Tamandua tetradactyla: one gene and its partner. The protein of the gene in region 2 interacts with the protein of the main gene of each other region in a pairwise test. Links are inferred from orthologs where the notes say so. Each region holds a gene or a part of one and is shown on either strand. Other genes may lie near its edges.

Region 1 (8,090 bases), on a different chromosome or scaffold from region 2:
AACATGGGTCAGAAAACCTAGAATGAGCTGAGACCCAGCATTAAGGGATTGAGAAAATCTCTGGACCAAAAGGGGAAGAGTGAAATGAGACAAAGTGTCAATGGCTGAGAGATTCCAAACACAGTGGAGGGGTTATCCTGGAGGTTATTCTTATGCATTAAGTAGATATCACCTTGTTATTCAAGATGTAGTGGAGAGGCTGGAGGGAATGGCCTGAAAATGTAGAGCTGTGTTCCAGTAGCCATGTTTCTTGATGATGATTGTATAATGATATAGCTTTCCCAATGTGACTGTGATCGTGAAAACCTTGTGTCTGATGCTCCTTTTATCTACCTTGTCGACAGACAAGTAGAACATATGGAATAAAAATAAATAGGGGGAACAAATGTTAAAATAAATTCAGTTTGAAATACTAGTGATCAATGAAAGGGAGGGGTATGGGGTATGGTATGCATAATTTCTTTTTGTTTTCATTTTCTTTTTTTGTTGTCTTTTTATTTCTTTTTCTGAACTGATGCAAATGTTCTAAGAAATGATCATGATGATGAATATACAACTATGTGATGATATTGTGAATTACTGATTAAATATGTAGAATGGAATGAGCATATGTTAAGAAGGTTTGAGTTTCTTTCTTATAATTTTTTTTTAATTAAAAAAAAAAAACCTGATGCCTCACATTCAGCTTCTCTCCACAATTAATCCAGTTCCAAATTCAATTCTTAGGAAAGAATTGGAATAGTTTTTCGCTTTCTAGCCTCTTCCGTAAGAGAAGGCACACTAGAAGCAGGAACGTGTTTTGAGCCAGCCAAATCCACAATATTTGCCAAACTTGTACTAAACAGCCTAGTGTTGCTGGGGGAAAAAAAAGTATAATCTCCAATCTCCAATGGGTCCTTAACTCTGCCTGGTAATCCTACATTTCTCTAGTAAACACATTCTCCCACACTCTACAATGACTTTCAAATCTTCTTCAATCTACTCAAACCTCTAACCTACTCTCACTCTAAGCATAAAATTCCACCTCTCACTTTACAAAGAAAATAAAAGCCATGAGAAAACAATTCATCTTACCAGTACCAAACATACAATCTCTATCTATACCTTCATTTCCTCCTTCCCTTCTGTTAAATGGATAATGAATCCATCTTCCTAAGGCTGCTTTCTCCACCTATACTTTGGATCCCATCCCCTCCCACCTTCTCAGAAATTTTACGCTATTGGTGACCCAATTTCTCTCTTGAATATTCAACTCTGTCCTCTCAATTGGATCCTTGGTAACTCCTCATCCCCTTTAGCTACCACATCCTCTCTAAAATAATGTCTAGATTGATTGCCTGGATCCTTGTCTCATATCTGGCTTCCATCACAAAATAACTCTTGCCAAGGTTACCAAGAACTTCATAATAAAGACAACAGACTTTTTTTGATCCTCATGCTATTTAAATTCTGACACAGATCATTCCCTTACTTCTAAAAGAATATTCCTCTCGTTCTCTTGTAGGTTCATCCTCCTGTTCTTGGCCACTAAATGTTGGAACTTCCCAAGGCTCTGACCCATGTGATCTTACCCACACATACTACTTAATTATCACCTAGATTACTCCCAAATCTACTATGTTCAACACAAGCATGGCTTCTGCGCTCCAAAGTTCAACTGCCTCCTAGATGTCACAAATGAATCCCTCCATAAAAAACCCAAGGAACAAAACTAACAAACTAGTTTCTAGTCATTTTCTAGCGTTCCATTGAACACTACAAGATATTCTAATGCCTCACTGAATGGTACTGCTACGTATTCAGCTGCATGAGAAACCTAGGGCTTATCTTTGCTTCCTCTCTCTTAAGTTTCAGGAATCCAACCCATCACCAGTCCTAACCATTTTACCTCCTATATATCTCTAGAATCTGTTCAATTCTCCACAGGTCCACCAAGATATGTCAGTCCTCATTGCCAATTATCTCTCACCAGGACCACTGCAGAACCTAAGTCGTCTATCTGAATTCACTACGGCTCACCTTCAATCTGTTCACACCACTGAGACAAAGGGGTCAAGCCACCGCCCCTTCCACACATACAGCCCCCCCCACCCACCCAAAAAACCAACCCTCAGTGATTCCCATCTCATCTTAAGATAAAAGCTACAGATCTCTGCAGGGCCTAACCTTCTAACCGCCTCCAATTTCATCTTGTACCACTCTCCCCTCGTTATCTTTGAAGCAGTCACACTGGCCTCTTTGTGCCTTTTGTCAGTCACCCATGTAATGCTGTGGCTTCCTCTCTTCACCTAATTATTTGGAATTCAGCTCAGGCATCTCTTTCTCAGAAAAGGCTTCCTGCATATTTAAGCACTCAAAGCGTCAGATAGCTGTCCGAGGTAGCACTTATTTTACATTAACTAAAGAGATGTTAGATTGTTTAACATCTGTTTTCTCCACCAGACTCAATCTCCCTGACGTCAGGGACTATTTGATTCACAACGTCTCCCAAACGCACAATAAATATTAGTTGAATGATTGAGAAGAGGACCTAGTTCACAGATGTGAGTCTCAAGCTTCTCAATATAACTGCGCTCTCGAGAAGCAGAAGGCGGATATTTTCTTCATCTGTCTCTCTCAGCGGCATAGGGGAGACTCTAATGAAAGACTGTACAGTCAGTTGCAGAAACAAGCCTCACCTCCTCAGACAGGGAGTCTAGGAGACAGGCCTTATCTTCCTGGGAGCGCCCCACACATGACTGGACACAAGTGGGCGATTATCCAAGTCAGTCGTCGAGGTCCCTCCAACACCCCACCCGGCAGCTACAGGGTCTGGGTCCTGCCGCCAGACAGCCCAAACCTCGGCTCCCGCCAGGAAGGAGAGCCCATGCTACTACTTACCAGGGATAGAAATCAGGACCCTCAACTGAGAAGGGCCATGCTCAAACCCCACAACCAAAACGCTGCCTCCAGACTCGGGTAGCCACCCCCTAGCTTCCTTATACTTACTCGGCGTCAAGTAGAAGACAGCCAGCCACGCCATTGCGCGAAAAGCCGAACCCAGTCGGCGCGTTTATACCCACAAGACACAGCGCGCGTAGGCGGGACTCCAGGTTCATCCGCCAACCCTGAAGTCGGGCATTCGTGATGTTAGGAAGAGCTGCCCAATAACAAGAGACTATCCCGAAAGCGACGCAGCCTATTGGGAGATGATTGGGTTCTCCAAGCCGGAAGTTCTAAAGGAAAGGCTAAGTTCGAGCCAATCGCGCTGTGTGGAAGCGTGCCGCCTCGGTCCCTACTGGCACTGAGAGGAGCGGCTGCCGCCATGATAGAACAGCAGAAGCGCAAGGGCCCTGAGTTACCACTTGTCCCAGTCAAGCGGCAGCGGCATGAGTTGCTTTTGGGAGCGGCGGGGTCGGGCCCCGGAACCGGGCAGCAGCAGACGACGCCAGGAGCTTTGCTGCAAGCGGTAAGAAAAGGAACAGGTGGCCTTCGCTGCTCGGCTTCTCTTGCTCTCTCCTCAGAGCGCCACACCGAGTGATGCCGCATTGCGGGAGAGGAACGAGAATATTGACCTGGAGTTAAACTCTTTAAAAGCGCCCTATACCCTACAGATGCTCGATACGTGTTCCCGCGTTTGATGCCCTTTTTCAGCATCTCGACCGCCCTGGAGGTGGCAGTAGAATTGGAATGAAGAGCCATAGGCTCATAGCTGGCCTCAGGGCCGCGGCTTAGGCTTCCAAAGTTTTCCAGGGATCCGGGATAGAATAAACATTTGGTAGAAATTTGTAGAGTGAATAAATGCGTGAGTGAGTGAAGGGAGAATGCGATGAAATGAATGTTATTGGCTCCCTTAGGGACCGGGCAAGTTGGTTTCCCTCTTTCAGCTTCCCTTTATTTCTCTGTACTAATATTATGAACTGGATAGTACAGTTAGTATTCATGGAGCCCTTGTGCTGAGTGCCTTGTGTATGTGATATCCATTCATCTTGGTAACAGCCTAGGAGTTAGGAACTATTATCCCATTTTGCAAATGGAACAACAAACTCTTATCAAATAAAGTGATGGAAATAGATCTTGAACCCAGGCAGTCTGACTCCACAATCCATGCTCTTAACTGCTCTTGTAACGTGAAGAAGTAGTGGCCACTTCTCCTCTGCTGCTGTGAGAATCAGATGAAAGAATATATGTACTCTCTTTTTTTTTTTTTTCAAACCCTCAACCAACCCATCAGCGAATCCTGCCAGAATTGCTATTTCTATCATCTCTATTGCTTCCTCTTGGTCTAAGCTATTATTTGTCTCATCTGAGATTTTGCAGTATGGTCCTAATCAGTCTTGACTGTTTCAGCTCCTGCTTTCTACAATCTGTTCTCAGTCCAGCTTTCCATTTCACTCAGAGTAAAAACCAAAAACTTCACAATCTTTTGCCCACTTTTCCCTCTACCTCTCTGATACATCAATCTTCTTTCCTTGCTCTGGTCTCTATGCTCCTGCCTCAGTGCCTTTGCATTTGCTCATCCCTTTGTCAGCATGTTCTTCTAAATGCTTGCATGGTTTACACTCTCAGCTCTTCAGTTTTGTGTAAATATCACTTTTTCCGTGAGTTCTTTCCCGACCACAGTATTTTAAATTGCAATATCCCATACTCTCTATCCCACATTCCTCCTGTTTTTCCCTATTGTACATACCATTGTATGTAATATATATATATTTTAAACTTTTCTCTTTCCCATTCCACCAGAATGTAAACTCTATTGATTTTATTCACAGATGTTTTTGCAGTTCCTGGGCACATATTTTTTTTAATGAATAAATAAGCTGGAAACCACTGAAGAGATGTGGAGATTATTGTTAGTGTGCCTGTTCTTCCTACCAACAAATTAGAGCATCAGCCCAGGTTTAGAAAGTGAATTGCTCAAGCCTAGGCTTTGTGTCCAGGGCCATAATCAAATCCTACTTTCTGCAGGAGTCCCTACCCTGCAGGGTTGTTGTTAAGCTCAGTTCTGTCGTTCACTCATTAAATGCACCAGACATTGGGAAAAGATTGTTGAATGACACAGGCAAAGTCCCTGCAGTCATGGAGCTACTGTTCTAGTGTGAGAAGCAGACGAAATATATAAACAAATATATGAGAAAGGTAATTTCAGATGGTGATTAAGGAATATGGATGTGTGTGTGTGTGTGTGTGTGTGTGTGTGTGTGTGTGTGTGTATGGAATATATATATAAGGAATCACCTTATATTAATATATAAAGTGGTATGTACTGTATGAAGTACAGTAGGTGATTGGAATACAGGTGGGGAAGAGTCAGGGGAAACTACAAATGCAAAGATCCTGCAACAGAAATAAGTTTAATGTTTGAATAATAGAAATGTTGGCTATGGGACAGCAGCAGAGGGAGGGAGAGAAAGAATTAATGTAGCAGGTGATCATTGGAATGTTCAACAGAAGAGTATCGTATTGAGACATGACAAACCATGAACCAAGTATAAAAAAGTTTTTTGCAGCAAAAAAAAAAAAAAAGAGGCATGCATGATGTGAAAAGAGCTGAAATCCATTCCATCCATCGTTTTCTCTTCTCCCTCTCTCTCTCTTCCTACTCCCCGCCACCACCCTCAAATTTTTCAGCCTCCTTTGCTTATATACAGTGAGTACTCTGTGTTTCTGTCTTTTGTTTAGGGGCCTCCAAGGTGTTCCTCTCTTCAAGCCCCAATCATGCTGCTCTCCGGACATGAAGGGGAAGTGTATTGTTGCAAGTTTCACCCCAATGGATCCACTTTAGCATCTGCAGGATTTGATCGACTGATATGTAAGACAGTTTTTGAATCTGATGTAATTGCACTCTACCATGTAGTGATTATTTTTTATCTGTGATCAGTGTAGATTGATTATCTCTGAAAATGAGGAAACATGACAAACTACATTGCTAACAAACTAAAGTGAGGTTGTGAGAATTCTAAATGATCTTGGGTATAGAACTTGGGGTATGTGTGGTAAATACAGAAGAGATTATATTACTAATTGGAAAGTAAGTTCTGGTTTGGGAATACCTTCCTCATATAGGCAAGTGTTGAGCTGATTTAGCAAGACGAGATCTCCAACTTTTTGTAATGAGGACAGAGAAAAGTTCTTTTCCCAAAGTTGTGAGGCCCTCCTGGGGATCCATACTCACAGTCCTAGCAAATAGGAAGGAAAGGGGATTCTAGAATAGCAACTGCCTTAGATATTATTAAGATCTATTGCCAGATTCTTAACTACCAGTCAGGAATACCCATTTTGGAAGAATAAGTAGAAATAAATCACTTTGAGGGGTCATGTGAAAAGCATAGAGAAGATAATCGAGCATTTTTTTCTTCTCTGTATTTACCCCATTATGAAATGAAATTAGTCCCTTGGCTCTTTTAGTAACTATGCATCAGGGTGGATGTTATCTGTTTTCACTGCCCATTTTGATTTAGATACTCCAGTTCTGTCATCTTTAAACTTATTGATGGCCAAGCAACTGGAAGGCATGAGATTCTGTGCACAGCATCCTTAAATTTTTTATTTAATTTCATTAAAAAAAAAATTTGTAGGGCGGGCCACAGTGGCTCAGTGGGCAGAGTTCTTACCTGCCATGCCAGAAACCCGAGTTTGATTCCCGGTGCCTGCCCATATGTTTTTTTCAAAAAAAAAAAATATGTAGTAGTTTTATCAGCAAAAAAATTTCTATTGTGTACCTTATTATGTATATAGGTGCTCCTTAATGACACTTATCAAAACTTCTGTCCATGCTAGACCAAGCTCCCTGAGAAAAGGAGCTGTGTCTATCTCCTTTACTCTAGCCACCATGCCTGCCATGTAGTAGGTGTTCAGTATATGCGGAATGAGTAGATTTAGTATAAAGCCATTGCTCTGTGACCTTGAAGTCAGTTGTGGCTTCCCAGATTTCCCAGAAGTGCCATCATTTTGCAGTCTACTTGTTCTCATAGAGTGAATGCATCTTAAAAAAAAAATTACAGGGTAAAACTGAGATTTAAAAATTATATCCATTAACTTTTTTACTTTGTGTATTATGAAAATATTGCCATTATTTTTATGTTATGGTCTGGAAAATTGGTCTAGCTGCTAGAACCAGTAGTGTCCCAAGGAAATACAATTTGAGGCCTTTTATTTTGGTGAATTCATAAGTAATCTTTTCATGTTCAGTAATGGATTTTCTTTTGCCTAGTAATTCTTATAGACCCCTGTGTCCCCAACAGTATTGTGGAATGTCTATGGTGACTGTGATAATTATGCCACACTGAAGGGACACAGTGGAGCAGTGATGGAACTGCATTATAACACAGATGGCAGGTGAGTATTCTACATAATGAAATGGCAACTGCTTTTCATACTAATTATTCTTAGCATCGTTTTACCTTTCACCCTTGAGTTTGTTCTCTCCTAGATTTTGGGTGACTACCTTATCCCAGTCACTGTCACCCCAAGTAAGGTGTTTATTGTTACATGTGTACAACTGTTAACTCTATCATTTCTCTCATCTAACATATCAACAGCCCAGACAAATCTTTTTCTTTTTAAAACATAAAGCAAAGTATAGTTTTCATATGCAGAAATTCTTTCCAATGTAAAAGTAATATATTTAAATATAAATGAAAATGTTTATATAAAATATTTTGAAAAAAAACAAAGAAGCAGAAAGAAACCTACATTCCTACCACTCCAAAGATAATCATTTATTACTATGATACATTTCCCTCAAGCCGTTTTTCTACCCAAAATAGTTTGGTTTTTAAATATTTGTTAGAGCACTATATACAATTTTATCTGCTGTTTTTTTCCCTTAACTTTATTCACCTAACATCTCTGTTTTCACAGCATTATTTTAATGACTGTATAATTATAGAATACCTATAGATAATATAAAAATGTGGTTATAGACAGTTAATTAATCCTGTCATAGAGTATTTTATTAAACATTCATTTATTTACATCTCTGGCCTGGAGAATATTAGTATGCCCTGAATCATCTGGTATAGAACCTGGCATACATGTTTCCTATTAAAAAGAAAGCATTATTAGGAAAAGTCTTAAAGAGAGAATAAAAGCTTTGGATTTTGGGGAGA
Region 2 (7,753 bases):
TGCAAACTTCACGGTACTGCATTGAACAATCAAGATTTCCTACTGCAATGAGTAAAGACTATGGATAAAAATAAACAAATAAAAGGGGGACAAAGGTTAAAATAAATTTAGTAGATTGAACTACTAGTGGTCAATGAGAGGGAAGAGTAAGGGGTATGGCATGTGTGAGTATTTTCTTTCTTATTTCTTTTGCTGGAGAGATGCAAATGTTCAAAAAATGATCATGGTGATGAATACACAACTATATGATGATACTGTGATCCACTGATTGTACACCATGTATACAATGTTTGCATGTTTGTTTTTTGTAGGAAGCTCTGGCAACCCTGGACAGTAGCTGAGTAACCGCAGATTCCAGGTGCCCCAGTCCCCACCAATCTCTGTTGTCTCTTACACCCAGTCTGCTTTACCCACTGGCACTACCTGTCTGGTCCCAACAAATGTTTGTTTGCAACCCCCTCGTGCCTCTCCAGCCTCACTTCTTGTTACATGACCTTCTCCCAAACCCTACATTCAGCTCCAGCCACAATGTGCTACTTTCAGATCCTTGATGCACCTAATTCTCTCATGTCTCTAGGCCTTTGCAGATGCTGCTTCCTCTACCTGGAATACCACCTCCGGCCCTGGATAACTTCAATAATTCCCAAGCCCTAACCCAGAGGACCCTTCCTGCAGGAAGCCTGCACTGATGCCCACCTTCCCCTAAAACTACTCTGTACTTCCCCAGCAAGTCTTTACTCTTATTGATTAGTCTATGATACATTTGTCTCTTTACTTCTCCGTCCATCTACTTTGGGTTGGAAATCCCAAAACGACAGGAACTGGGTTTTCTCATTAGCTGTGGAACCTCTAGTGCCTAGCATGAAAATTATCTCAATATTGCCAGAAGCATTACATTCTGCCTGAACTTCCACTCTTTTCCTTGTAAAGTAAAACTGTGATGTCCTACGAACACCCAACTCCCTGGTATGGACACACAGACCAAAGATTACAAATGTGTTTCATCTGGTTCTTGCCAAAATATATATCTGAATTAGTGCCAATACTAAAAAATCTGTACATACACAAATCTTCATTTCTAGCCTGTACAATCAAAATATTTGGTCACGCAAGAGCAGGAGTTGTGCAAGGCAATACCCAGTAAGGGTGAGCAGCAGCCTGCTTTTCAGAAGGGGCTGCCCCAAATAGCCCCCTGGCCCTTTGCTGATTTGCATGGCCCGCTTGGCTCCTGGAGGCAGCCAGTTCCAGATCCTTGCTCTAGCTTGGCTGCTGAGGCAGAAATCACCACCATCCCAGGAGGACAGGGATTATTCTAGGGAGAGATTTCTGGGGGAAAGGACCCTCAGCCTGTGGCCTTCTCCACTGTGCACCCACTCTGAGAGCTCTTTATCTTAGCACAGTCCTCAGAAGTTACCATTTGCTGACAACATGCTCTGCCTCCAGATCATGGATGAATGACAGATGTGGAAATAAGAGGCCACCCCTGCCCTGCTTTTTCTAACATTTAAACAGCACTGCAGCTGTATTTTTAGTACTTGCCTTCTACCAGAGCAGAGAAGTAGAGACCCACTTCCCGGACATCAGTCCCAGGCTAGGGATACACAGCTCTGTTTCTTTGTCTGGATCCATTTGCTGCCACCACCTTCTCTGGGTCCCGACTTGGTGCTGGCCTCTGGGGGAGTCAGGAAGCAGGTATTTCCCTTTTAGCAGTTCACAATACAGTGGGAAATGGCTTCCTGCCAACGACTATCCCATGTTCGCATTCAATCATCGCTCATCTAATCATTCAAAACCTCTACTGGATGCCTACTGGGTGCCAGGCCATCTGGACGTGTCATAGTCTTAATGGTCCCTTTGCTTGACACACCGGCCTTCTCTGTGTGATGCTCAGTTCAAACACTACTTCTTTGTCTAGCTTTCCCAGGCCCTTCACCACCCTGCCAGTTGGCTGGGTCCTCTTGCGTGTTCCAACCCTGTCCTGACTGCCCTTATTGTCAAGCTACTTGTTGTACTGTATCACTAACATCTGCATATGCTTCTCAAGGACAAGGACTGTGTCCTGTTCACCACACTATACTTCTCCACCAAGACACAGTCTGCTGGCAAAAATTATCATTTGATTGAACAAATCAGTGATTATCCAGGGAAGAGCTCTGTTCTGAGGTGTCACAAGACAGGCGAAACACTGCTGGCATCCACGAGCAGGAATCTGGGCCTTTTGCAATGCTCAGCACAGTTCCCCACAACAAATTGTCCTCTGTCCTGCACAACTTTCAAAGGTCCTGCAAGAGCTTCATGTCAGCAAAAAGACCTAACACCTGTTTATATATAAATACAGTAAACTATTTCCCAGTTTTAATATATACTGTATTACTCAGGAATGCACATAACACGTTAGTTAAGGGAAGTACTACTTGGCCTTGTTCACCTTTCTGGAAAATGCCTGTTCACCCTGCTCACCAGTTGGGTCCACCGGCCCATGTCTGTATTCATAGCTTACACAGTGATTCCCGCTTGGTACAAATACACTTAGTATTTGATTCAAAATTCCAAATATGAAACGTTGACAATTTTTACGTGAACGCTGTCTTATATTAAGACCACACTTCCTCATTGTAAGTACAAGCATCTTTTGAAGTAACCCTGCCTGAGCCTTTACACAGAGAAATATTGTCTTCCGCTGCAAATTAGTTTATTTTCTCCTTTATACTAAAGACAGGATATTGCACTGACTTTCTCTCCAGGGTGAACCCTCGCCTCTGCCGCTATCTTCGGGCCACCCCGCCCCGTGCCACTATCGCCCGCTTTGCGACCCAACAACCAGCCACAAACTCCACACCGCTAGAGCGCCGGTGAGAGCCCAGAAATTCCGAAGGCCTGTCCTCCACCCCCGGCCTCGGTTTCTCCATCTGTCATACCGCTCAGCCATCCCCAAGTGAGCCCCATACCGACCCCTTCGCCGCTCTAACACCCGGGAACCCGAGGGAGCCGGCTGCAAGTAGCACCTCCCGGCACCATGGCTACGCCGCCTGCGCTGAGATCTCTCCAGACCTCGCGCGAGAGCAGCGCATCTAGGGCGCATGCGCCGCGGCGGGCGGCTCCCAGGGTGCCCCGCGGCGGCGGAGCAGAGAGTGGCGGGCGCTTCGCGGTGTGTTTTCTCGGCCGGGTGTGTTACAACCGCCCACCCGGCCTCACTCTTTCTCCAGGCGTCCGTGGCCAGCGGCGGCATCTACCAGAAGGGATCAGGTAAAGCAGTAGGGTAACGCAGGCTCGGACGCGCTCTGAGGTCCCTCTTTGCGGGATGGCAGGCGACACAGGTCAAATAGTGCCTTAAAGGCCCAGGTTTCACTTCGTCTCCCCACGGCCTTGGCCCCCTACGGCCATTTTATGGTTCCTGAAGGAAGGAGGGCGCGGTTGATCCGCCCCCTTCTGACAGATTAGATTCTGTACAAAGGCAGCTAGGGGAGGGGAGGAGGGCTGAGTCGACGCCTGCGCTCTCCTCTGCTTGTTGCTTTTTCTGAAAAGGAATCCCTCTCGCCCCCTACGTCACCGTCCCACCCACCCTTTTCCCCACCTTTTTCTTATCTGGCTTTGACTCTTGACTGATTGTTGAACTGAAGTTGCCTTGTTCTACTCCACGCAAATTCACTCTGGGAACCAACCCAGAAGTGACTAATTGGACCCCTGCTGCCGGGCAGACCACAGCGAAATCGGGCTCGCTGCCCATTATAAAGGACGTAGGCACTGAGTCAGGGGGGTACGGAGAAAGGCTAGGACTACCAAGAGGTCTCCTGCAGAAGGCAGGTGGCTCTGGCCAAACAGTGAAGGATGGAGGATTCCCATAGGTGGGAGTGGAGGGTGCTTGTACAGGGATAGGGAGACCCAGGTTGAAGAGTCCAGCTGTCTCCTGGAAACCACCTCCCCCAGGTCATCTAGACTGAACTCATTTTTCTTCCCCTCTGGATTCCACGGTGGCTCCACTAACCCCATCCCCTGGGCTGGGCCAGAAATCTGGAAATTATCCTCACGTCCTGCCTTTCCCTCTTGAAGCCATTTCCAGCTCTTGCCCTCAGAATAAATCTCTAACGTTAATTTGACTTTCAAAGCTCCTTGACCTGACTTCTGGTAATGTCACCAGTCTCAATTCCTCATTCTTCTACACTCATACCCTGCATTTCATTCATTCCACAATGCTTGCTCACCCTGCTCTTTCATGTCTTGATGCTTTTCCAGGTGCTCTTTCCTCTGTCTTGAATGCCATTTGTGCCTTCACCCTCCCCCTTGTACTCTTCTTCAGTTCGCTGCCTTTCCCAATGCCCCCAACACCCATCCGCAGAAGTAGACACGCCTCCTGTCTCTAGATCACAGCGTGTCATCTGTTCACCCATTCATCACACATTCCACAAACATTAAGCACTGACTGTGAGCAGTGCCTTTTGTATTTCCTTTGGTTGGGTTTCCTCTGTGTTATATGTTTGCCAGACTCCATCACTGGTCAGGGAATGTCTCACTCATTTCTGAATCCCCAGTGCCTGGGCATCCGGTTAAGGAGTGGGAAAGCAAAAGCCTAAAGACACGGTCTTTTTTTTTTCCCATTTCCCCGTTGTTTTCAGTCAATAAGTAGAAAGTCTTTGAAGAAAAACCCCAGGGCTGGGAGGAGGAGAAAATGCTGCTCTCATGAGGTAGGTTGAAACATTGGCCCCTACCGTCTGACTGAGAGAGCTTCCTCAGTTCTGTGCTGGGACTTTCTGCAGTTGGTGCTTCTGAAAGGAAAAGAATCTGTACAACCCTTCACCCCCAAAGGAATTTTCCTCTCCTACAGAATTTTCCAGAATGTTCATACCTGAGCTTCTGTACTTTTTTATATAAGTGATAACATTTACAGCAAAATAGCAATCAGATCCTGAGAGATCAGCTGGGCTAAAAGGGGGCCTTCAGCCTCCATCTTTGTATTTGAAATCAGAGTACTCTTTGGAACATTTTGTTCCATGAAGGTTTGGGACTCCCACTTGTTCCTGTGGACAACTCATCCATTCTTCATTAGAAGGTGTGTGGGAGGGAAGCGTGGGTTAGAGTGTCAGAAGAATAGCTCCTGGAAGGCCAAATAAGCCCAGGGATATGTTGAATTGGAAAGGAAGAGGCTGTTGCTAGGCCACCAGCATGTTGCTAGGCCTTTTCTCCATCAGGGCTGTGCTGTATCCTGGGAAAAAAGCTGTAGTTCAAGGAATGCAAATGCCCCCAAACCCAGGGACAGAGGAGATGGGGCAGGAACAAGGACTTTGGAGACCGGCAGGACTAGGTTGAAACTGACATTGCCTCCTGCTTGTGAGGGCAAGACCCTTTTGAGTTTCATTTCTTCCTTTGTAATGTGGGATAACAATATTGCATCACAAACTTATGGTGGAGATTAAAAAATTTTTGTAAAAGAGATAAGGTATGTAGGGCAAGTATTTAGCACAGTAGCCCAAAATAAGCACTCAGTAAACGTCAGCTGTGGTTCCTTGATTCAACAAACATTACTGAGCACCTAAGTCTCACTACCGTGCTAGGTCCCAGCAATACAGCAGTGAACAAAAGAAAAATTGTTCTCCGTGAAGAGTGTACATATTAGTAAGAGAAAACACACTGTAAGGTGGTGGTACATGCTGGAGAGAAAGATAAGGCAGGATGGAGAGTAGTGAGGAGAGTGTCAGAGGACCAGTGGGGATGAGGGGACATTTGAGTAATGGCCATAAGGAGATGAAGTGCCACAGGTATCAAGGGAAAGAATATTCCATGTGAGGGCACAGCCATGCAAAGGCCCTGCGTGCCTATTATGTTTGGAGAACAGCTGATTGGTGGGACTGAAGTGAGTAGACCAGAAGGGGAGGCAGTTGGGAGGCAGGCCTGAGAATAGTGGGAGGACTAGATTCTGTGGGGCTTTGCAGGCTGTGGTGAGGATATTGGCATTTACTCTAGTGCGATGGGAGCCACTGGAGAATTTTGAGCAGAGGAGTGACATGGGCTCTCTTTTTTTTTTTTCCTGCAACTGAAAATTTTATCAAGATATATTTACACACCATATAATCCATCCAAAGTATGGAATCAGTGTCTCACAATATCATCACCCAGTTGAGCAGTCATCATCACAATCAATTTTAGAACATTTTCATTACTTCAAAAATAAGAATAACAAATAAACATTAAAAAAGAAAACCCAAGTCCAGGGGGTAGTTCTTATTCATTAATTATATGTAGGATTAGTTTTTTATTACAGAAATAAGTAGAGAAATGAACAAGAATAAGGGGGGATTATAACTGTACAACTGCTGTCATCACTAGTTAGCCCATTTCCCCTTATGACGCCTCTCGTGTCCTTAGGCCAGGCCTCTGTTTCCCTGTAGATCATACCTTCTAACTACAATGTATTAATGATAAATGTTAGGGTAGCTAATCTGTACCGCTTTACTTGTTATCTTCTGTTTTACAACAGTGCTGTAACCTGTCACTATGACTGCCTGACAATTATTTTAACTGGCTCTGGCTGACATGTTGAGACTAGACTAGAGGAGCAAGGGTGGACGCAGGGAGCCCTGGTAAGAAGCAGTGGCAATGCCGTTACTGGCTTGGGCCGGTGTATGTAAAGCAGTCCGTACTTGCCTACACCTAGCAGGCTCCCTTTAAGCAGTTTTCTGAGACCCTGCTGTGTGGAGGGCGTACAGTGGCCCTTTACATCCATTATCACATTCTGTTCCCAGGACTGGGTATTTCTAGTCTCCAATGAGGAAACTAGTTCTTAGAGAGGTAAAGCCACTAATCCAGTTCTCCAACAGGTTTTTCCTTGCTGTAACAGGAAGGCTGTTGATAGAAATAGCTTCACGCAGAGAAGGAACCAGAAACCAGAGACCTGGGCCCTTGGTTCTTGTAGAAATAAGCTCTTTGCCTGGCTGCAGTCTCTGGTTTTAGCTGGGCCTGGCCTTCAGGGGGCCCACTTCAAGGAGCAAAATGCAGTTTCCACCTCCTTGAGCACTGTGGGCCCTCCAGATATCTGGGCGATGTGTGGATAAAGATGATCACTCAGCCCTCCAACCTGGCCCAGGGCTGGGGTCGAAAGCAGACACCCAGTTCACCCTTCCCTCCCTGACAAGAGTACCTTAAAAGGAAACTGCTTGGGAAATCCCTAAAGGGAAGGGATAGTTAAGGATGGAGACCTGGGGGAAAGCAGTCCAAGCCAATATGGGGTCAGGGTCAGCTCTTACCTGCAAGCGAAGTGCTGCCACAGTCCTCTAGCCACTGCTGAGAGAGTCTGTTTCCCTCCCTGGGAGCTGGTGACCTTGTTGTCCCAGCTGGATTCCTGTTGGTCAGCTGCCTGCCCTGGGCAGAATGGTGCCCGCCCCCGATCACTGACTCACTTTGAAATGGGAAGGAGGCCCAGGTAAGGCTCCTTGGCTGGGTCAATGGGGCAGGTTGCCAGGCCCAGAGAAGAGGTTTGGCCTTAATCTAGACTTGGAGGTGGGGTCAGGGAGGCACACAGCTGCTGCTGAGATAGATAGGTGCCAGGACTTCTTAATCTTTCCATGAATTTGGATTGAACACTCAGTCCTGCTAAGCACAGGGAAGACAGTTAACGGGAGGTTGGTTTGATGCATATCGGGGTCTTAAAAATGGCCATACCCCAGAAGATCTGAAAGCATATCTTTTGCTTTCATTGGCACACCAGTGTTAGAAGTAGCACTCTTTGCGCTTGCCAAAAGGTGGAAATAATCCAAATGTC

Evidence for each region.
Region 1: the proteins of SDCBP2 (region 2) and ZCCHC17 interact in binary tests that used the Homo sapiens proteins (3 or more experiments, as listed by UniProt). The two-hybrid records come from large-scale screens. The link is inferred for Tamandua tetradactyla from reciprocal best matches to the Homo sapiens genes SDCBP2 and ZCCHC17.

Annotation. Positions count from the first base shown.
Region 1 is NC_135328.1:194,559,886-194,567,975, forward strand, and holds the start of ZCCHC17 (zinc finger CCHC domain-containing protein 17), read right to left. Parts: upstream 3,070-8,090; 5' UTR 2,989-3,069; intron 1-2,988. Other genes in the region: SNRNP40 (U5 small nuclear ribonucleoprotein 40 kDa protein), read left to right, coding at 3,305-3,448, 5,662-5,791, 7,224-7,317.
Region 2 is NC_135327.1:23,222,376-23,230,128, forward strand, and holds the start of SDCBP2 (syntenin-2), read right to left. Parts: upstream 3,042-7,753; 5' UTR 2,930-3,041; coding exon 2,919-2,929; intron 1,673-2,918; exon of another isoform or gene 1,540-1,672; intron 1-1,539.